Linked DNA regions of Elephas maximus indicus. Each later gene encodes a partner of the first gene's protein in a complex. Links are inferred from orthologs where the notes say so. Each region holds a gene or a part of one and is shown in the gene's direction. Other genes may lie near its edges.

What was found.
Region 2: STX18 (region 1) and BNIP1 share a complex: the UniProt entries of both Homo sapiens proteins name them as parts of the SNARE complex. The link is inferred for Elephas maximus indicus from reciprocal best matches to the Homo sapiens genes STX18 and BNIP1.
Region 3: STX18 (region 1) and VAMP7 share a complex: the UniProt entries of both Homo sapiens proteins name them as parts of the SNARE complex. The link is inferred for Elephas maximus indicus from reciprocal best matches to the Homo sapiens genes STX18 and VAMP7.

The regions. Positions count from the first base shown.
Region 1 is NC_064823.1:156,987,072-156,994,138, reverse strand, and holds the start of STX18 (syntaxin-18), read left to right. Parts: upstream 1-4,030; 5' UTR 4,031-4,134; coding exon 4,135-4,302; intron 4,303-7,067. UniProt on the Homo sapiens protein: Syntaxin that may be involved in targeting and fusion of Golgi-derived retrograde transport vesicles with the ER.
Region 2 is NC_064820.1:192,250,272-192,257,794, forward strand, and holds the start of BNIP1 (vesicle transport protein SEC20), read left to right. Parts: upstream 1-4,426; 5' UTR 4,427-4,461; coding exon 4,462-4,545; intron 4,546-7,257; coding exon 7,258-7,350; intron 7,351-7,523. UniProt on the Homo sapiens protein: As part of a SNARE complex may be involved in endoplasmic reticulum membranes fusion and be required for the maintenance of endoplasmic reticulum organization. Also plays a role in apoptosis.
Region 3 is NC_064846.1:109,691-117,520, reverse strand, and holds the start of VAMP7 (vesicle-associated membrane protein 7), read left to right. Parts: upstream 1-4,815; 5' UTR 4,816-4,954; intron 4,955-7,830. UniProt on the Homo sapiens protein: Involved in the targeting and/or fusion of transport vesicles to their target membrane during transport of proteins from the early endosome to the lysosome. Required for heterotypic fusion of late endosomes with lysosomes and homotypic lysosomal fusion.

The DNA.
Region 1 (7,067 bases):
AATAACAATGCTTTAAGAACCAGTTTTAATACATATACTAATTGCAAGAAGGCACAAATAGTTAAGTGCTAGACTAGTTCTAGCCAAAAGGCTGTAGGTTCAAAGGCATCCAGAGGTGCCTGGAAAGAAAGACTTGACAGGTGATCTTCCAAATGTTCACAGCCTTGAAAACCCTATGGAGCAGTTCTACTCTGCACACACAGGGTTGCCATGAGTCAGAAATCAACTCGATGGCAACTAAAAACAACAACATAGTTGTGCATCCTCTTTAAAAGAATAAGCAAACCTGCTTATCAATGAGGTCTTTAATTAAAACTGGACCTCGAAGCAAAGAAGGAGCCTTGGTGGTACAGTGGTTAAAACGCTCAGCTCTTAATTGAAAGGTCGGCAGTTTGAACCCACCGGCTACTCCCTGGAGAAAGATGGAGCAGTTTGCTCCCATAAAGACTTACAGCCTTTAAAACCCTGGGGGGCAGTTCTACTCTGTCCTATAGGGTCGCTCTGAGTTGGAGTCGGCTGAACCGCAATGTGTTTGGTTTTGGTTGGTTGAAACAAAATTCAGAAAAAATTAACTGGCTGATGTCTTAGTTCTCTAGTGCTGCTAAAACAGAAATACCACAAGTGGGTGGCTTTAACAAATTTATTTTCTCACAGTTTAGGAGGCTAGATGGCTGAATTCAGGGCTTCAGCTCTAGGGGAAGATCCTTGTCTCCTTTCAACATCTGTGGGCCTGGCATTCCTTTGGAGATCTTCATGTGCCTTGGCATCTATCGTTCCGTGAGTCTAGCAGGTTCTCAGCACAGGGGCCCCAGGTCCAAAGGATGTGCTCTGCTCTGGCTCTTTTTTCGTAGTTGTGAGGTCCCTCCCTTTTCTGCTCACTTCTCTCTCCTCTTATTGTTGCCAGGAACTCCAGGTCCTGCTCGATGCAACTCATCAAAGCCAATAAACAAGAGGCTGAGGTGGGAGATCAGAAAGGCAACTTTATTTCCTTGCAAGGAAAGGAACAGTCGGGGCTGGTGTCTCCAAGACTATTCAAGGATAAAGTTTAGGGAGGTCGCTTTTATAGAGCTTACAAGCAGGGAGATCATGTGAATTACAACAGCAACATTCTAAATCATGCTACGGCAGGGGGTTACATAAAACTTCACAGTACATGTGTTTAAAGGCTGTAAGTCTTTATGGGAGCAAACTGCTCCATCTTTCTCCAGGGAGTAGCCGGTGGGTTCAAACTGCCGACCTTTCAATTAAGAGCTGAGCGTTTTAACCACTGTACCACCAAGGCTCCTTCTTTGCTTTTTTAGGGGTGGAAAAATTGGTACCTACGAGGAAATTAATGAGCCAAATTTAACTGTAGGTCTCTTGAACTAGTTTGAACCAGCACTCGGTGGCTTACTTGTCTTGCCTGAAAAAGAAAATACAAGCTCTGAGGTGTGATCTCCACTGTGGGATTTTTCCCACAGTATCAAAGGCTGCTGCTTTATTACTTCGTATAAGATAAAAGGTGTGACTCAAGCAAGGGTATGACTCAAGCAAGGGTGTGACTGGAGTAGGGGTGTGAGCTAAGTAAAGCTGTGACTCAAGATCCACCTCACACTGATCCTGCCTCATTAACATATAGAGGTTAGGATTTACAACACATCACAAAATGGAGGATAATTACATCAGGTTACAAAATGGAGGACCACCACACAACACTGCAAATCATGGCCTAGCCAAGTTGACACATACTGGGGGGAGAGGGGCAGACACAATTCAATTCATGACAGCTGACTTGCAGCCAACTTAAGCAAATATTATGACTTGAGTTAGCGATTGGTGACACAAGAGGCACTCTTTCATCCTTATATCCAGTTGATAAATTCCTACTCATCCTTCAAATCTCTGCTCAGGTGGTAACTTCTCTGTGATCCTCTTCCCCACCACAAATAATAAGGATAATATTAACAGCAGCTAATATTTACTGGAATTAGTCGATGTTCAACCATTTCAAGAGGTGGCATATGATCGGGAACCGATGGTGCTGAAGGAAGAAGTCCAAGCTGCTCTGAAGGCATTGGCAAAAAACAAGGGTTCAGGAATTGATGGAATATCAATTGAGATGTTTCAACAAACAGATGCAGCACTGGAGGTGCTCACTCGTCTATGCCAAGAAATATGGAAGACAGCTTCCTGGCCAACTGACTAGAACAGATCCATATTTATGCCTATTCCCAAGAAAGGTGATCCAACCAAATGCGGAAATTATCAAACAATATCATTAATATCACACGCAAGCAAAATTTCACTGAAAATCATTCAAAAATGGCTGCAGCAGAATATCAACAGGGAACTTCAGGCTGGTTTCAGAAGAGGACACAGAACCAGGGATATCATTGCTGATGTCAGATGGATCCTGGATGAAAGCGGAGAATACCAGAAGGATGTTTACCTGTGTTTTATTGACTATGCAAAGCCATTCGACTCTGGATTATAACAAATTGTGGATAACATTATGAAGAATGGGAATTCCAGAACAGTTGTGCTCGTGCTGAGCCTTTACATAGATTAAGAGGCAGTTGTTTGGACAGAACAAGGGGCTACTGATTGGTTTAAAGTCAGGAAAGGTGTGCGTCAGGGTTGTATTCTTTCACCATACTTATTCAGTCTGTATGCTGAGCAAATAATCTGAGAAGCTGGACTATATGAAGAGGAACGGGGCATCAGGATTGGAGCAAGACTCATTAACAACCTGCATTATGCAGATGACACAACCTTGTTTGCTGAAAGTGAAGAGTCTTAAAGCACTTACTAATGAAGATCAAAGACCACAGCCTTCAGCATGGATTACACCTCAACATAAAGAAAACAAAAATCTTCACAACTGACCAATGAGCAACATCATGATAAATGGAGAAAAGATTGAAGTTGTCAACGATTTCATTTTACGTGGATCCACAATCAACAGCCATGGAAGCAGCAGTCAAGAAATCAAAAGACGCATCTCGTTGGGCAAATCTGCTGCAAAGAACTTCTTCAAAGTGTTGAAAAGCAAAGATGTCACCTTGAGGACTAAGGCCAAGCCATGGTATTTTCAATCGCATCATATGCATGTCAAAGCTGGACAATGAATAAGGAAGACCAAAGAAGAACTGATGCCTTTAAATTGTGGTGTTGGCGAAGAATATTGAATATACCATGGACTGCCAAAAGAACGAACAAATCTGTCTTGGAAGAAGTGTGGCCAGAATGTTCCTTAGAAGCAAGGATGGCGACACTGCGCCTTACATACTTTGGACATGTCGTCAGGAGGGATCAGTCCCTGGAGAAGGACATCATGCTTGGCAGAGTACAAGGTCAGCGGAAAAGAGGAAGACCCTCAACGAGGTGGATTGACACAGTGGCTGCAAGAATGGGCTCAAGCATAGCAACGATTGTGAGGATGGCGCAGGACCGGGCAGTGTTCCGTTCTGTTGTGCATAGGGTCGCTGAGTCGGAACCGGCTCGACGGCACCTAACAACAACAACAACGACATTTACTGGTCACTTCCTAGGAGCCAGGCCACACCAAAAACACTTCACACGCCTTAACTGACAATTCTCACAACGACCCTGAGACGGGTCGGCTCCACTTTAGGGACGAGCTGCTCCATCCGTGTCCCTTGGACACTGCTCTGTCCCTGCCCTGCGACACGCACACTGTGACCCCCTGAGGTCAAAGGACAAGCCCGTTTGGCCTCCGCGTCCCCCGAGATTCGCCCGGCCCAGGCTCAATCAGGGCGGGAGCCACGAGAAAGGAACGAGCCGTCCGGCTTTCCGATCCTGCTGTCCCGGACCCATACTCCCCAAAGCCGTACACGACGGTCGGGGACCCAGAGTCACTCGGCGCGGCCAAGCCCGGGGGGTTTTCGGGGAGAAGAAAAGGACGCCGGTGAGCACTTCCAGGCAGCTTCCGGGATCCGCCCCGAGCGCCAGCGCGAGGCCGGAACCTTTCTCCTCGCTCCGCGGTAGCTCGGCGGAGGCCGGAACCTTTCTCCTCGCGCTGCGGTTGCTGGACGGAGGCGTGCGGGAGAGAACGGTCCTCTCGCAGCCGGGTTCGCAGCGCGTCGCCGGCTGCTGACGTGGGGGGCCCTGTGGGGACCGCGGGTGCGGGTCGCCATGGCGGTGGACATCACGCTGCTGTTCCGGGCCAGCGTCAAGACCGTGAAGACGCGGAACAAGGCGCTGGGAGTGGCGGTGGGCGGCGGGGCAGATGGCAGCCGCGACGAGCTGTTCCGCCGGAGCCCTCGGCCCAAGGGAGACTTCTCCAGCCGGGCCCGAGAAGTGGTGAGCTGGTTGCTATGGAAACGGCGGGCGGGAGCCGGGCGCGGACCCGCGGCGTGGACCCCTAGACCCCCAAAGTGCACCCGGTCCCGCAGGCATTGTGCGAAAGAAACGCCTGGAAGAAGGGGTCGCAGGAGGGAGCAGCCGAGCTGGCTTCTGAGAGCCGGCAGCTGTCTGGGGAAAGGAACGCCATGCGTTTGGGGAAATTAAGGAAGCCGATTTGTCTTGGGCGGAAGGAGGCGCTCGGAAACCTGCGTCTGCAGAGTTCCCGGGTGTGTGTGGCAATGACTTCGCCGTCACTGCGCCTGGACGCGGAGGCAGCTCCCCCGCAGCCCCCTGCTCCCCTGTCGCCTCGCCGGCCACGCTGCCATCGCCTCTTCTGTTCACTTGTCCCATCGTCCTTCCTCGAATTGAGATTAAAGGCCATGCCTGATTCAGCTGTCCTCTCCCCTCCCCTGGCCTCCTGCAGGAGGTTAGGGCACAAGGTAGATAGAATTCAGCACTTTTTTTTTTTTTTTAATTTATTGCGCTTTAGGTTAAAGCTTGCAGAGCAAATTAGTTTCTCATTAAACAGTTAATACACATACTGGTTTGTGACATTGGTTGCCAACCCCGCAACATGTCAACACTCTCTCTGTCTCCACCTTGGGTTCCCCATTTGCAATGGTCCAGCTTTCCTGTCCCCTCCTGCCTTCTCATCCTTGCCCCTGGGCTGGTGTGACCGTTTAGTCTCATATACATGGTTGAACTACGTGTATTATTGTTTGTTTTGTAGGCTTGTCTGATCTTTGGCTGAAGGATGAGAATTCAGTACTTCTTGAGACTGGTTTAGGATCAGCTTTCACAAACACTCCATGTGTCAGTCATCCAAACTACTTTCTGTTTCCTGAACACTGCAAGCTTTCCTCATCTCTCTGAGCAGGGACCTTCTCCTTAAGGGCAGGAACAGTGCTGGCTTCATTTCAGAATCCCCAATGCTTGACTCATAGCATTGCTTAGTAAATGTTGAGTGAATGAATGAACAGATGGTTGTCAGCCTTCCCCCACTAAACAGTAAACTCTGTAAGAAGAGAGAAAATGTTTGCCTTGTTCACTTTTGTATCCTTGGCACCAAAAATGGATCTAGTTTTTGTGGGGTCTAAAGCTCATACAGTTTTGTCTGCCCTCTGTGAGAAATAAAAATACAAAATTACAGAAAAAATCAGGTTTAGAGCTTTGGGAAAAGTATAAGTGAGGGGCCCTGATGTTTAAGGTTCTAATATCAACTTCACAGTAAATCCACGTTAGCTTGGCACGCAGTTCAATGCCTGGCAGTGTGTAGACACTCAGGTATTTTTGAATCAATGTATGCATGCATGAACCAACGAAGGGCAGTTTGCAGGGGATATTAAAGCATTAGAAGGGGGATTAGGCTAGATGAATACATTTAGTTCATTAACAAGCATCTTTTAAGCACCTACCTTCTAACCAGCACTGTGTTAGGGTAACACGATAGAAAAGGAGTGATGGCAGAGGCAGACATACGAACAAAACAAGTGCCATAAAACTTTGTAGGTGGTGGGATAGAAATATGTGTCAGGCACAAAGGAGAGTGTGATCAGTTCTACCTGAGGACCAGGAAGGGTTTTCTAGAGCCAGTCATGCCTGGAACAAGTCTCGAAAGATTTGGTTCCTGTTCAGACAGGTTGGGGGAGGGCATCTCAGGCTAAGAGAGCAGTGTGCACAAAAGCATGGAGATAGGTAACAGCCTAACATAAGTTGGTTCAATTAGTATTTGAGTGTGACTGGAATTCAGGACACCCAGAAAAATTCAACTGGAGGGGCAGGCAGTGGCGGATCTCAAAGGGCCTTGTATACCACTCTGCTGAGTGTGGACTTCGTCCTGTAGGCAGTCAGGTATTATGTGGTAGAAAGACACCCAAGAAGGAGCCAGGAGACCAGGCTGTTGGCTTAACCCTGCCACATTAGCCGCGTGATGCTGCTGTTAAGCAAGTTTTATGACCTCAGTTTATTTACCTGCAAATGGTGCCCTCCTTTTTTGTTCTTATTAAAAGAAGGCTTTTAAAAACTACAGTGATCCCTTATATATAACAGATCAAAGGGGGGCTTCTTGGATGGAAATGAGAGGAAGGGAAATCAAGACATTCTTCCTCCCCTGCCCCCAGTCAGGCCGAGGCCGTTCCTGGGTACCTCTGTGACTCTGAATGAGGCATTGATGGTTCAGTGGTAGGATTCTCTCCTCCCTTGCAGGAGACCTGGGTTTAATTTCTGGCCAGTACACCTCACGAGCAGCCACCACCCCTCTATCTTTGGAAGCTTATGTGCTGCTATGATGCTGGGTATATTTTAGCGGAGCTTTCAGACTAAGGTGGGCTAGGAAGAAAGGCCTGGCGATCTTCCAAAAATCAACCAATGAAAACCCTGTGGATCACACTGGAACACTGTCCAGTTCGCCACCACTTATGGGGACGGTGCAGGAGTGGGCATTGTTCCGTTCCGTGGTGCCTGGGCTGCCCTGAGTCAGAGCCAACTGGACAGCAGCCAATTACAGCGTTCCGACTCTCAGATCACTGATTCGTCAACACTGCTGATTCTGAGTCCTCAGGGAGGTGTCAAGACTTGGAGATCCTGCTAAGCAGGGACGGGAGCTGTGTCACTCGGAGCCGCTGTCCCTCCTGCCGTAGGGCGAACACGCACACTTCCGAGAACTGTGTTTTAACGTTGCAGTTGCTTTACGTGTCACCTGCTGGTCTTGCGACCCTGCCTCC
Region 2 (7,523 bases), on another chromosome or scaffold:
ACTCCTCATAGGAGCTTCTGTAACGGGAAGTTCAAGGTGCTGGGTGAACAGGGTGAGTATTGTCCTTGGGAAACTAAACCTATGTGTGGCACCCAGTTCGATGGGTCACTCAATTGCCCTTCTTCACTGACAGTGATTTTGGAACCAGGTGAGCTCTTTAGCCACACAAGAGGATTTGAAAGAAGGAAAAACATTAGTTGGGAAATGCATTAATGTCCTGGCTAGCAGGTTCAGAATACCAAGGTGTTAGAAAGTCCTGGGGGTGCAGCATTCATTAAGCTTCTGCTAGGGGTTTTCCCATCAAGGACCTCAGGTGCTACTCAACAGCTAAGTGAGGCTGGTGGTCATGGCCATTTTACAGGTGACATGCCACGGACCCAGCTAATATAGAGCCCCAGTTCAAACTCCATTCTGTTTGCTGCACTACACAGATAATTTGTACTCATTTCTAAGGTGCCAGGCCAAGACACAGGCAAGATTTTGAAAGATGTTTGTGTAGAAGGGAAATAATGGGCTTATAATCTGAAAACCAGAAAGAACTAAAACCAGAATCTAGCAAACAGATCAATCAAAAGCTGGTCTCAGAATCAATGGATAAAGGTGACTGGTGAAGGAAAAGAGCATTGTGAGTGACTGACACTCACTGGGTCACCAGATTGCACACGTGTCCCTAACAGGTGGCTTCTAGCAGAATGGTTTAGGATTGGCTGTCTTTATTAGAAGAGAGTATGGTATAAAAAAAAAAAAAAAGAAAAAGGGAGCTGTGTTTTCTCTAGCTGCGGCATAGACATGCAGCTTGGGGACTTGCTTGTATAGGAATTTCTAGCAAAATGCATGATGTAAAAAGGGCCCAAGGTTATGTGTGCAGATCACAGCTGCAGGCATTGGGCTTTGCTGCAGTCCTACATAGGGTGCTAACATTTGAGGATCCAAAATGCTCAAGTGGCCTGAAGAACATCAACCTGTTTCTTCAAAAGGTTTTAATCTTAAAACATCATCAAGAGTAAACAGAAAACATACAAGGTCTAGATAAAGGAAACTTTAAAATACCCTGAAGGACACAGAAGAAGACGTGAACAAATAGATAACGCCAAGCTCTTCAACAGGAGCAATCAACGTAAAACCATCAGTCCTCCTCAGTTAAATAAAACTTTAATGCCATCCCAATAAAACATACCAGTAGGGTTTCAAAAGCAAGACAAAACTAAAATTCATATGCGGGTGGGGGGGGGGAATAAAAGTTAGAGGATGCTAGAGGGAAAAAAAAAAAGGGTGTTCAGTCCTAACAAACATTAAAATATAAAACTGTAATTATGAAACCAGTATAATTTTAGTGCACGAATGAGTAGATAGGCCAATAGAACAGAATAGAAAGTCTAGAAATAGACCCAAATATGTATGTGAATTTAGTATGGCAAATGTGTCATTCATAACCAGTAAGGAAAGGATGGATTCTTCAGTAAATAGTGTTGGAACAACCAGGGAACCATCTGAAAAAAGTAAAGCTGGTTCTATACCTCACACCATAAGCCAGCATGTATTTCAAAATGGATAAAGATGTAAATGTAAAAAAGAAAAACACCATAAAAACACTATAAAGAAATGTGGAAGGGTTCCTTTAAACTCCTGTGGGTGGGGAAGGCCATTCTAACTTGGACCTCAAATTGAGGAGCCATGAATGAAAACTGAGAAAAAAAAAAAAAAATACAGCCATAGAACACCATAACCAGAAAAAAAAAAAAAAACCAAACCAAACCCATTGCCGTCGATTCTGTCTCATAGCGACCATAAGCCAAGTCAGAATTCTATAGTCAGAAAAAAAACTTGCAACTCATCTCTAGGTGCTAATCCTAATATATAAAGAGCTCCTAGAAATTGATAGGAAAAATGAGCAGACTAAAATGCAAATACAAATAGCTCTTCAACACAAGATCCTCAATCTCATTCATGATAAGAGGAATGCAAATTAAAGAATAGCATTTTCATCTAAGCAGATTGGCAAAAATCCAGCTGTTAACACAGCATGTTGGTGAGACCATGGATGGGAAAACAGGCATTTGTACCACGTTGCTGGTGGGAGTGTAAACTGATATAACTCCTGTGGAGAGCAATGTACCAGAATTTTTAAATGCATATATCATTTGACCTAGCAGTTCCATTCGTTCTGTGGCCTTAGGCAATTCATTATTCTTCTCTGTGCCTGTTTCCTCATCTTAAAATGCAGATAGTTGTACCTTACAGAGTTGTTTGGAGGGTTAAATGAGATGAATACATAGCACTTAGGACACAGTGCCTGCGACATAAGGAGTGCTCAAAAATGTCAGTATTAACAGCAGCTAATGCACATTGAGCTCTTACCATGTGCCAGGTATTGAGCCTGGTGCTTTTCATGTATTATCTCATTTAATCCCCAAACTAACCCTGTGAAGTAGGTGTTAGGCTCTGATGAGAATGAGGCACAGAGCCCTCAAGTGAGCTGTAGAACAAGATTCAAGTAGAGCAGGATTTGAGCCAGGGTGGATGCCCAAGCTTGCGTAACCCTGCCTCTCTGTTAGATGAAGTGGGATGACAACTCCTTAAGGGAGGGGTGTGCCAGTGCTATAGGAACACAGAGGGGCAAGCAAGTCCCATAGCTCTGCTTGTACAACACTACCTAAGGGCCACGTTTGAGTTTTGAGAGAAGATGTGAATTTCAGCTATGGCTCTGCTACTTTCAAGCTGGGTAACCTTGGGGCGGGTTTTTAAAATCCACTTAGTCCGTCCCCTGATCTGTAAAACAGGGTCTATTCGTTTCCTTGGGCTGCCATAACAAAATACCACAAATCAGGTGGCTTGTAAGAACAGAAAGTTATTGTCTCACAGTTCTGAAGACGAAAAGTCCGAATTCAGGGTGTCAGCAGGGCCAAGATCTGTCTGAAGGCTCTAGGGGAAGATTCTTTCTTGTCTCTCCTGGCTTTGGAGCCTTGGTGGTGCAGTGGTTCAGCGTTAAGCTGTGAACCAAAAGATTGGCAGTTTGAATCCACCAGCCGCTCCTTGGAAACCCTATGGGGCAGTTCTACTCTGTCCTCTGAGTTGGAATTGACTTGTTTCTTGGCTTGCAACTGCAGCACAGCTGTGGTCACATGGCCCTCTTCCCTCTGTCTCTGTGTCTCCTCTTTTATTAACACACCATTAGGATCCACCCTACTTTAATAAGACCTCATGGTAATCCATAACATCTGCAAAGACCTTATTTACAAAGAAGGTCACATTCACAGGTTAGAACTAGAAAGTAACTTTTTTGGGGACACAATTCAATCCGTAACACTAGGGCATTACCTATTTCAAGGGTGGTTGTAAGGATTAAGAGAAACAGGCACTCAGGTCCTCACAACTGATGCTTATTGAAGTGAGCTGGGGAAAAGTGGGTGGGATGTGGGGAGGAGAGGATGGGGAAGGAAACACTAGGAAGAGGGAACAACACATCACAAGACTACAGATTCAGACATAGCTTTAGGAATCCAGGAAGGTGCCCCACGACCTTGAGGACCAGCTAAGAAACGAGCTGTTCAACAATAAAAATAAAAGAGCCACAATTTGTTGGGGGCCTGCTTTTACATTATTTTACTTAATACATCAAAACTACTGCAGTGAGGTAGAATTAATAAATTCAATTGTACACAAAGGAGAACCACCAGAAGCTATGGAAGGGGTGTAAGCAGGGAGGTGACTTAATCAATTCTGGGTTCTAGAAATATCCGGACAGTGAGATGAGGTGACAGGAGGTGCTCAAGCCACTTGCCTTGAATTCCATACGTTAAAAATATATATATATATATATATATGTTTACCATTTTCTCTTTTACCCCACAATTTATACTCACTCTAGAAAGTGTGAAAAAGTTTAAAGGAATATTTAAAAACTTGTTAATTCCACTTCCCAGAACCCGCTAAGAGACATCCCAATTACCATTTTTCTTCCAGTCTTTTTTTTCCCTTCTATTTAAAAAGTCATTAGAGTGATTGGCGGAAGACGGGGAAAGGCCACTGTCAGCCGTTTTTGATATTCTCTTCGGCCTGGTTTTATAACAGTAAAACCAAGGGGCGAGGCTGATTTTCCCCATGTGTCGGGGTTGTTGTGTGCCGTAGAGCTGATTCCGACTCACTGCGACCCTGTGGACAGGGTGGAACTGCCCCATAGGGTTTTCAAGGAGCGGCTGGTGGATTCGAGTTGCCCACCTTTTGGTTAACAGACTGAGCTCTCATCCACTTAGCCGCCAGAATGCCTAGTTATTAGGAAACCTTTGCAAATGACTATCAAGAGCCCGCGTTAGAAGTTTCGGTGCCGACCTCTCGCTCCTGCCACACTCAAACCGGTCTTAAGGTGGCGCTGCTGCAAGACGAGGAGGGGAGGGAAAGAAGGAGGTGCGAAAACGCATCTGAACTTTGGGCACCGCCGCTGTCCGTAGTAGGCGTCCCAACATGGCGGCACCCCAAGATGTCCACGTCCGGATCTGTAACCAAGAGATTGTCAAATTCGATCTGGAGGTGAAGGCGCTTATCCAGGTACTAATTCCCAGAACCCTGCCGGGTTCCAGCCGCCCTAATCCAAGCTCCGTCGGCCTCCTGGGCGCTCGGCGGTCTCTCTCCCGAACTGTCCCCACTTGGTCAGTTCTTCGAGACTCTTGGCCCCGCCGGGTGGCCGAGTACCCCTATGTCGTACCCATTTGGTCAAGTCCTGGTAACTGTTGGCCTTGATCCTCCATCCGGGTGCCGTTGGCTTGCTCCCTTTCGGACCACTCCCATGTCGCCCGCCTCTGCCCAGCCTCCCCTTTGTGGCCTCCCCTCCCTGGCCTTGCCCCGCCTCCGACTACCTCACAACATACCTGTCACCCCGTTATTCCCCTCTTAGTGGCTGCTTGCCCCCGCCTTTGACACCCCCCCCCGCTTTCCCGCGATAGCCTCGCGGGGGGGCCATTAGCTCCGCGCCCTGCCGGGTGCCCCGTGGCACCACCTGGCATGTAGGCACCGGGTGAAATGAATGTAACGTGGACCGCAAATGAGGAAATTGAGTAAAGCGCGAATGCCTGAATCCAAAGACGGTGCAAAACTAGGACCGGGACAAGAGAAGTCTGCTCGGGGAAAGGACTTTAGGGAGTCCCTCTGTTTAGTGTATGGGGGAATTGAAGTGTTTTGCTTTAACCCATCATCAGGGCCCTTAAACTACCATTTAAGGTGAGAGGCAGTAGTGCAATAAATCAGTTGACAACAGCAAGAGTTAGGAATGTAGTTCCCTAAGTTTACCAAAAGGAAATCCAGAGTTTTAAACCTTAGTTTTTAAATTTTTTTAAATTTGTTTTTGTTCTTCAGAGTATATGCAGCAGAACATATACCAATTCAACAATTTCTACATATACAGTTCAGTGACATTGATTATTCTTTTGAGTTGTGCAACCATTCTCATCCTCTTTTTCTAAATTGTTCCTCCCCCATTGACAAACTCACTGCCCCTTAAGTTTCCTATCTAAGCTTTCAAATTGCTGTTCTCAATTTGATCCTGTAGAGATAGATCTTAAAAAGAGCACAATGTTCAAGGCAGACATTCTTTACTAAATTAAGCTAAACTGTTGTTTGGTTTAAAGAAGACTTTAGAAGATATTTTTGCTTTAAGGTTTAAAGATTAAGGGCAGTAGATTCAGTGGTTCATCCAGCCTCCATGGCTCCAGAAAGTCTATAGATTCCATGAGAATTTGAAAATCTGTTTCACATTACCCCCCTTTTGACCAGGATTTTTCTATAGAATCTTTGATCAAAATGTCCAGTAATGGTAGCTGGGCACCATCCGGTTCTTCTGGTCTCATATAATCTTAGCTTTAAGCGAGTCATTTTTGCTTCCAACAAACTGTCATTAAATGTTAGACGTAGACTCAGAATTTGCAACAAGTTATGGCAAAAAGCAAAGTTTGGAAAGTAGGACTTCTTGGGTAGAACATATGCAGAATAAACCAAATTAGCAGTTTATCATATGGTGCAAGGGTGTGTGATTTAAGGAGTAAGCCAGAGAACAAGTGAAGAAACTTGATGCAAACACTTGAACATCACATCTCATGTGTATTAAGCCACAAAACTTCTGAGACAACTCTAGAAAAATTAATTGAGAGCTCATACAAATGAAATGACCTTTTCACACAATCTAAATTGTTTAGGCCCCTTTCTCTAACATTTGGGTTCTTGTAATTGCTAATGAGAGAGATTCATAATAGCTACATTCACTGCCCACTTACTGTGTTCCAGCTGCTCTGCTCAAAGCTTTCTAAACATACATAGTCTTTGAGATAAGTAATAAGGAAACTGAGACAGAGAGAATTTAGGTAACTTTCTCAAACTTACACAACTAATAAATTGCTACAGCCAGAATTTGGATACACATAGTCTGGTTCTAGAGCCACTCTAAAACCTAGCCCCAGTAATTCTGAATGTCCAGAAACAAATTCTAAATCCCTAAATATGTCTGTAGACATTGTGATTTATAATAGATGGTTTGAAACCATTAATCTTGTATGATGACAGAAATATAAGCATCATGATTTTCAAGTTGGAAAGATCTAAAGTTATAATAAACCCTTCATACTGGTCAGGTGATGTTTTGTTACACTTTAACCAACCAGGTGCTTTCTGGTCGATTCTGACTCATGGCAACCCCATGTTTGTCAGAGTAGAACTGCGCTCCATTGGGTTTTCAATGGCCGATTTTTCAGAAGTTTGCACCACTCAGGGACTCCTGTTAAACTTTAAAAAAAAAAAAAAACGCTTATTGCCGCAGAGTCGGTTCTGACTCATAGCAACCCTACAGGACAGAGTAGAACTGCACCATAAGTTTTCCAAGGCTGTAATCTTTATGGAAACGGACTGCCACATCTTTCTCCTATGGAGTGGCCGGTGGGCTTGAACGACCAGCTTTTAGGTTAGCAACTGAGCACTTTAACCACTGTACCACCAGGGCTACTTTATTAAAATTTAAAGAAAAAAAAATTTAGGGACTAATAACTAGGTCAAGCCAGAGTTGCATTTCTTGGTTTGCTTTTATGTTATCTGTTCAACATTATTCTGAAGCGGGATGAGAAAAATGTAAATAATAATGGTTTTGGTTGTGTGGCAGAGGTCAACGAGATATTGGGATGAATGACAGTTAGTAGGCCAACCTTAGCTGTGGTCTAGGAGAACTGTCTCTCGGTACAGATGGTTTAATTTCTCCTTCTTCTCTTCAATGTGTCCTAGGATATTCGCGATTGTTCAGGACCATTAAGTGCACTTACTGAACTGAACGCTAAAGTGAAAGAGAAGTTTCAGCAGTTACGGCACAGAATACAGGTGAGTGGCTACAGAACCAAGATGTTTGATGACAGTGAAGGGGGCTCAGTCCTGAGACTAACCTCTGCATCAGTGGATGCTTCAGAGCTGTCCAGGATCTTCAGTAGTAGCTGGAGTAGTAAACCTTTAGACAGTGAGGGTGACTCTGTACTAACCTGCTGTCCAGGTAAAGA
Region 3 (7,830 bases), on another chromosome or scaffold:
GGCATGGGCAACTGATTGGATGGTTGCCCTGTTCACCGAGATGGGATTAGACTAAAGGAGGAGGAGCAGGTTGTGGGAGAGAGGAGGGCAAAAATGTATTAGGTCAATTTGGGACTATGCTAAGTTTTAGGTACCTAAAAGAGATGCCCCCACCACTCGACTGTCAGTTTGTCCTACTGTGGTGGCTTGCATGTTGCTGTGATACTGGAAGCTTTGCCACCAGTATTTCAAATACCAACAGGGTCACCCTTAGTGGACAGGTCTCAGAAACAGCTGCAAACATCCATTAATAAACACAACATGGGATGTATGAATAATGAATCTAGGAAAATTCTAAGTTGTCAAAAATGAAATAGGATGCATAAATATCAATATCCTAGGCATTAGTGAGCTGAAATGGACTGGTATTGGCCATTTTGAATTAGATAATCATATTGTTTACTACTTCGGGAATGACAAATCGAAGAGGAATGGCGTCACATTCATTGTCAAAAAGAACGTTTCAAGATCTATCATGAAGTGCAACGCTGTCAGTAATAGGATAATATCCATATGCCAACAAAGAAGACTGGAAATCCTGGTGGTGTAGTGGTTAACAGCTACAGTTGCTAACCAAAAGGTTGGCAGTTCGAATCCACCAGATGCTCCTTGGAAACCCTATGGGGCAGTTCTACTCTGTTCTCTAGGGTTGCTATGAGTCAGAATCAACTCGACAGCAGCGAGGACAAAAAGACCAGTTAATACAACTACTATTCAAATTTATGCACCAATCACTAAGGACAAAGATGAAGAAATTGAAGATTTTTACCAATATCTGCACTCTGAAATTGATCAAACATGCAATCAAGATGCATTGATAATTACTCGTGCTTGGAACGGGAAAGTTGGAAACAAAAAAGGATCAGTGGTTGGAAAATACAGCCTTGGTGATAGAAATGATGCTGGAGTTCATGTGACAGAATTTTGCAAGACCAATGACTTCTTCATTGCAAATACCTTTTTTCAACAACATAAACAGTGACTATACATGTGGACCAAGCCAGAATAGATGCACAAGAATCAAATTGACTCCATTTGTGGAAAGAACCAACAATGGAGAAGCTCAACATCATCAGTCAGAACAAGGCAAGGAGGTGTGGAACAGACCACCAATTGCTCATATGCAAATTCAACTTGAAGCTGAAGAAAATTAGAGCAAGTCCATGAGAGCCACAATGTGACCTTGAGTGTATCCCACCTGAATTTAGAGACCACCTCGGGAATAGATTTGACACATTGAACACTAATGACTGCAGACCAGAAGAGTTGTGGAATGACATCAAGGACATCATATATGAGGAAAGCAAGAGGTCATTAAAAAGACAGGAAAGAAAGAAAAGACCAAAATGGATGTCAGAAGAGACTTTGAAACTTGCTCTTGAATGTCAAGTAGCTAAAGCGAAAGGAAGAAATGATGAAGTAAAAGCGCTAGACAGAAGATTTCAAGGGGCAGCTCGAGAATACAAAGTATTCTAACGACATGTGCAACGACGTGGAGTTAGAAAACCAAAAGAGTAGAACAGGCTCAGCATTTCTCAAACTGAAAGAACTGAAGAAAAAATCCAAGCCTCGAGTTGCAATATTGAAGGATTCCACAGGGAAAATATTGAACGACACAGGAGACATCAAAAGAAGATGGAAGGAATATACAGAGTCACTATACAAAAAAAGAATTGGTAAATGTTCAACCATTTCAGGAGGTAGCATATGATCAAGAACCAAAGGTACTTAAGGAAGAAATCCAAGCTGCACTGAAGACATTGGCAAAAAACAAGGCCCTAGGAATTGATAGAATACCAACTGAGATGTTTCAACAAACAGATGCAGCACTGGAGGTGCTCACTTGTCTATGCCAAGAAATTTGGGGACAGCTGCCTGGCCAACTGACTGGAAGAGATCCATATTTGTGCCCATTCCAAAGAAATATGATCTAACAAAATTTGGAAATTATCAAACAATAGCTTCAATATCACACACAATTAAAATAATGCTCAAAATCACTTAAAGGCTGTTGCAGCAGTGCATCGACAGGGAACTGCCAGAAATTCACCAGATTCAGAAGAGGATGTGGAACCAGGGATATCATTGCTGACATCAGATGGATCCTGGCTGAAAGCAGAGAATACCAGAAAAATGCTTGCCTGTGTTTTATTGACTATGAAAAGACATTCGACTGTGTGAGTCATAACAGATTACGGATAACATTGCGAAGAATGAGAATTCCAGAACACTTAATTGTGCTCATGCAGAACCTGTACACGGACCAAGAGGCAGTCATTCAAATAGAATAAGTGGGTACTGTGTGGTTTAAAGTCAGGAAAGGTGGGCGTTGGGGTTGATCCTTTCACCATATTTATTCAATCTGTATGCTAAGCAAATAATCCGAGAAGCTGGACTATATGAAGTAGAATGGGGCGTGAGGATTGGAGGAAGACTCATTAGCAACCTGTGACAAGCAGATGATACAACCTTGCTTGCTGAAAGTGAAGAGGTCTTGAAGCACTTATTGATGAAGAACAAAGACCACAGCCTTCAGTATGGATTACACCTCAACATAAAGAAAACAAAAATCCTCACAACTGGACCAATGAGCAACATCATGATAAACGGAGAAAAGATTGAAGTTGTCAAGGATTTCATGTTACTTGGATCCACAATCAACACCCATGGAAGCAGCAGTCAAGAAATCAAAAGACGCATTACATTGGGCTGCAAAAGACCTCTTTAAAGTGTCAAAAAGCAAAGACGTTACTTTAAGGGCTAAGGTGAGCTTGACCAAGGCCATGGTATTTTCAGTCATCTCATACGCATGTGAAAGCTGGATAATAAATAAGGAAGCCTGAAGAAGAATTGAAGACTTTGAATTACAGTGTTGGTGAAGAATATTGAATATACACTGGACTGCCAGAAGAACGGACAAATTTGTCTCGGAAGAAGTACAACCAGAATGCTCCTTGGAAGTGAGGATGGCCATACTTCGTTGTACGTACTTTGGACATGTTATCAGGAGGGAGTAGTCCCTGGACAAGGACATGAAGTAGAGGGTCAGTGAAAAAGAAGAAGACCCTCAATGAGATGGATTGACACAGTGACTGCAACAATGAGCTCAAGCATAACGATTGTGATAATGGCTCAGGACCGGACAGTGTTTACTTCTGTTGTACATTGGATTGCCATGAGTCGGAACCAACTCCACAGCACATAACAACAACAACAAAAAGAAGAGATGTCTAGCTGTCATTAGATATTTGGGTCTGAATTACAGGAGTCTTGTCTAAACAAACAAACAAACAAATTCCATTGCCACAGTCAGGAGTGGATTCTGACTCATAGTGACCCTATAGGACAGAGTAGAATTGCCACATAGAGTTTCCAAGGAGCAGCTGGTGGATTCAAGATGGATTAGAACAGCCCACCTTCCGGTTAGCAATCGAGCTCTTAACCACTCTGCCACCAGGGCTCCACTTCCTATATGTGGATATCACCAGTATATAGATGATAATCAAAGCAATAAGAATAGTTAAGGTCATCCAGGAAGAGTGTGAAGACTAAGAAGAGAGTGTAGGGCATAGCCCTATGGAACAGGAACATTTCAAAGGAAAATGAAAAGCTTCCACAGAGGTGGGAGGGGAACCGGGAGGGTGCAGCGTCTTGGAAGGTAAGAGAATAGAGGGCTTTAAGAAGGAGGGAATAATCAACCATATAAAATATTTCTTTTAAAATATTTCAGAGTTGAAGTAAGATAATTACTGAAAAGTGCCTTTGGTTTTAGCAACACTGTTGAGAATTGTAACTGGGAGGATAAGGTGGGGGAAAGACCGCTACCTTAAGTCTGAGTGTGGACAGGGGATTGAGGTTGAGGCAGAAGGGTTCTTCGATGGAGCTAGACTCTGAGCTAGGCAGGAGCGAACGGGGATATAAGGGGTGGGAGGGGGCGCTTAGATCAAAGGAGAGTAGTTTATTGTTGTTGTTATTGTTATTGCAAAAGAATTGCAAAAGAATAGGAGAGAGGGTAGGTGAGTGGTAGAAGGAGTTTAGAAAACTTCCTGGCGAAAGTAGAGGGAGTTGCTGTTGGATGAATTCTATTTTGTCAGTGAAGTAACAGGCGAAGTCATTTGCTGGGACTAAGCCAGGAGGTGGCAGGGCAAGCCTGGCTCTTCATTTATCACACTGACTCCATGGTGGTAGACTCTTTCTGTGGTCCTTCAAACGAAAAATCAAATCAAACCCGTTGCGGCGACCCTATAGAACAGAGTAGAACTGCCCCCATTGGGTTTCCAAGAAGCCCTGATGGTACAGTGGTTAAGCATTAAACTGCTAACCAAAAGGTCAGCAGTTCAAATCCACCAGCTGCTCCTTGGAAACCCTATGGGAGGCAGTTCTACTCTGTTCTATAGGGTCGCTATGGGTCGGGTCGACAGCAATGGGTTTTAATCTTTATGGCAGCCTACTGCCACATCTTTCTCCCTGGAAGCAGGTGGTAGGTTCTAACCGCCAACCTTCCGGTTAGTAGCCGAATGTTTAACCACTGCGCCACTGGGGCCCCTTGTGGTCCTGGAACTTCTAATTTGCCCAGTGTTGGTATAGCGCTTGGCACATAGTTTACAACAAGGAAGAGCGTTGAGGAAACATGTGACAAACTTGACGATATGACGGTCTGAACTACCATCCCCAGAATGCAGTGCGGCCTCTGGGAAGTGCAGGGCTGGGAAAGCAACTGGCCTCGCCCCTCCACCCACTCCCATTGGAGGAGTGCTCACATTCCCAAGAGGCCGCGCGCGAGCCGGGTGCTTTACGCGGAAGTCGGAGGCGCTCCAGTCCCAGCCTCCTGTGGGAGCGCGCTGTAGGCGGTGTCTCGCTAACTCCCGCTTTTCTGTGTCGAGCCCGCGCGCGTCCTCCGAGGGTGCCAGGACAGGTAAATGGAGCGGGGCGCGCTCGACAGGAGAGAGGGAGAATTCAGCAGAGGGAGGGTGACGGTGTTGACGGGAAGGTGCTGGGGGTGGAGCGAGGAGGCAGTGCAAAGGTGACTCGGTCTTCTCTGGTGTCAACAGTTCGATTTGTCGGGCAAGTCGAGTTTGGGCGAAGTCCGTTTTATGGCGCTGATAAGGCCTCGAGTTAAAGAGATTCGGAATGTGTTGCTTCAGCTGTTACAGGAGGGAAAAATGCTAACTTTATGTCGGTTCTCATTCTGTCGGATCTGTGTGTAGCATTTGAATCTCTCGATCACTGAGTCTTCTTAAAATTCCTCTCCACATCCTTGTTTCGATGGCGTCACTCATCTGGTTCACCTTCGACTTCTGGCTTTGAGGTATTCTTTGTACACACCTGGGCCCCTGCGCGCCCCCTCTCCACCGCCTGATGTTGGCGTTCCTCTTCCTCCTAAATTCGGGCCCAGACCTGTTTCCTGAGCATCAGCCCTGTATCTGTCATCACCATTGTTATTAGTGGCCAATATTTGTCAAACTCAGACTATGTATGAGACTCCTTAGGAAATGCTTTACATCTCCCTCACCCATAACCTCCACAAACAATTGGTTATCAAGTCCTTTTCTTTCTGTTTTATTAATTGCTGTCAACTACCTGTACCTGCATTCTCCCACTCTTGATCCCAGAGGATACTGTCACATTTGAGAGACTCTTTTTATAGGGTGGCTATAAGTCGGAATCAACTCCACGCAATGGTTTTTTTTGGGGGGGGGTTTCTCTTTGAATAGCGGTGGCTGAGAACAGATTCATTCATTAGTTTAACAAATATTTCTTGAACAGCTAATATACACTTAGTCTTCTACATGTTAGAGATACAGCAGTAAACAAGACATGGAGGTCACTACTCTCAGAAGCTTACATGTTTGTGGGGGGTGGCAGGTGGGTTCAAACAGGAATAAATAAGATGATTTTATATGGTGGTTAATGCAAAATAAAACACATGGTTGACTTGACAGGGTAGAATCCTATCCTGAGAAAGACAGAGGGATTGGATTGTGTCTCAGAGCATCACCCAAAAAGAACATCTGTAATAATAACAATAGTCTTGATCTCTCACCAGGCTTCTTGTTGTATGCCATTGAGTCTACTCTGACTCATAGCAACCCAATGTGACAGAGTAGAACTGCTCCATAGGGTTTTCTAGATGGCACAGTGGTTAAGAGCTATGGCTGCTAACCAAAAGGTTGGCAGTTCGCACCCACCAGGTGCTCCTTGGAAACCCTATGGGGCACTTCTACCCCATCCTGTATAGGGTTACTATGAGTCGGCATCGCCTCCACAACAAACGGTTTGGGTTTTTTTTTTTTCTTAATCTTTATGGGAGCAGAGTGCTAGGTCTTTCTCTGGTGGAGTCAGAGTGGGTTCAAACCACCAACCTTTCTGTGCCACCAGGGCTTCTTCTGACTAGGCTTAGGGTTTTTTTTTTAATACATATATCACCTTCCCCTAAACTCCTGGTCTGTCATAGCAACGGTTGTTCTTTCTTCTTCTGTCTACTCTAAGATTATTACATCAGAGTTGGTGGTTTAGCTCTCATTGGTTTATTTCCTCTTAAGACCCAGACAGAAGAGTCTGGGTTGGATTACTATCAGCTCAACTGCTTTATCTTACTTGAGGAGATACTTTGGTAATGAAAATATTCTTGTAGCCAGGTCCTATTGTCTATAAAGTTATCTATCATTTATAAACCCAAAACAAAAAAAACCCAGTGCCATCAAGTCGATTCGGACTCATAGTGACCCTATAGGACAGAGTAGAACTGCCCCATAGAGTTTCCAAGGAGCGCCTGGCGGATTCAAACTGCCAACCTCTTGGTTAGCAGCCGTAGCACTTAAACACTGTGTCACCAGGGCTTCCCTATCATTTATAGTATAGTTAAAATCAAAACATGCTTGGTATTGACTCACTTATTTGTTCAACAAATATTTGAGGGAACGTCATATGATAGGCACTGTGCTGGGTGCTGGAAACGTAAACCAAAAAACCCAGACCCCTTGCCGACTCATAGCGGCCCTATAGGACAGAGTAGAACTGCCCCGTAGGGTTTCCAAGGCTGACATCTTTATGGAAGCTGACTGCCATGTCTTTCTCCCACGGAGCGGCTGGTGAGTTCGAAGTGCAGAACTTTTGGTTAGGAGCCAAGCACTTAACAAGGAGCTTGCAGGGCTCCTTGTACTGGGAATATAGTGAGGGTGAAATAGACTTTGACCTCTTCTCCAAGGGGAAATGATCATAACATTATACTGAGGGAATTCCTGTAACACATAAACTGACACGTGCATTCTTTTTTCTTCATCCAAATTGACTAGCCAAACTTTAGGAAATTTCCTCAGTGATCGTATATATTCTTAGGTTATTTACCTATACTTTCTGCAGTTATTTGTTTATGTCTGCCTTCCCCATTGTACTATGGATCCCTTGAGTATAGGGAACCTTCCTTACTCATCTTCATACCTCCAGAGTCTATCACACTGGCTGCCATATAGTAAACCCTCAGTACATGTTGAACTGAAATAGACTCTTTGATCAAACCCAAATTTCTACAAATCCTTTTATCAGCCTTATCCCTCAACTTTCTCACTCACCAAATGTGGGCCATTCCATCTCACCTTTACCTTTCCTAGCTTGTTCTCACCTGTGCTGTATTCCATAGCTCGCTCCTAAAATGAATTCCCTTCTCTTTCCTGAGCACCTTGTGTACCACCCCCATTACTTTGATGGGCCAATTAATTTAATAGTGTACCCCATGATACAGAAGTGGAAAATTTAATTTCCATTGTTTCTTTACTATTAAACATTCTGTTA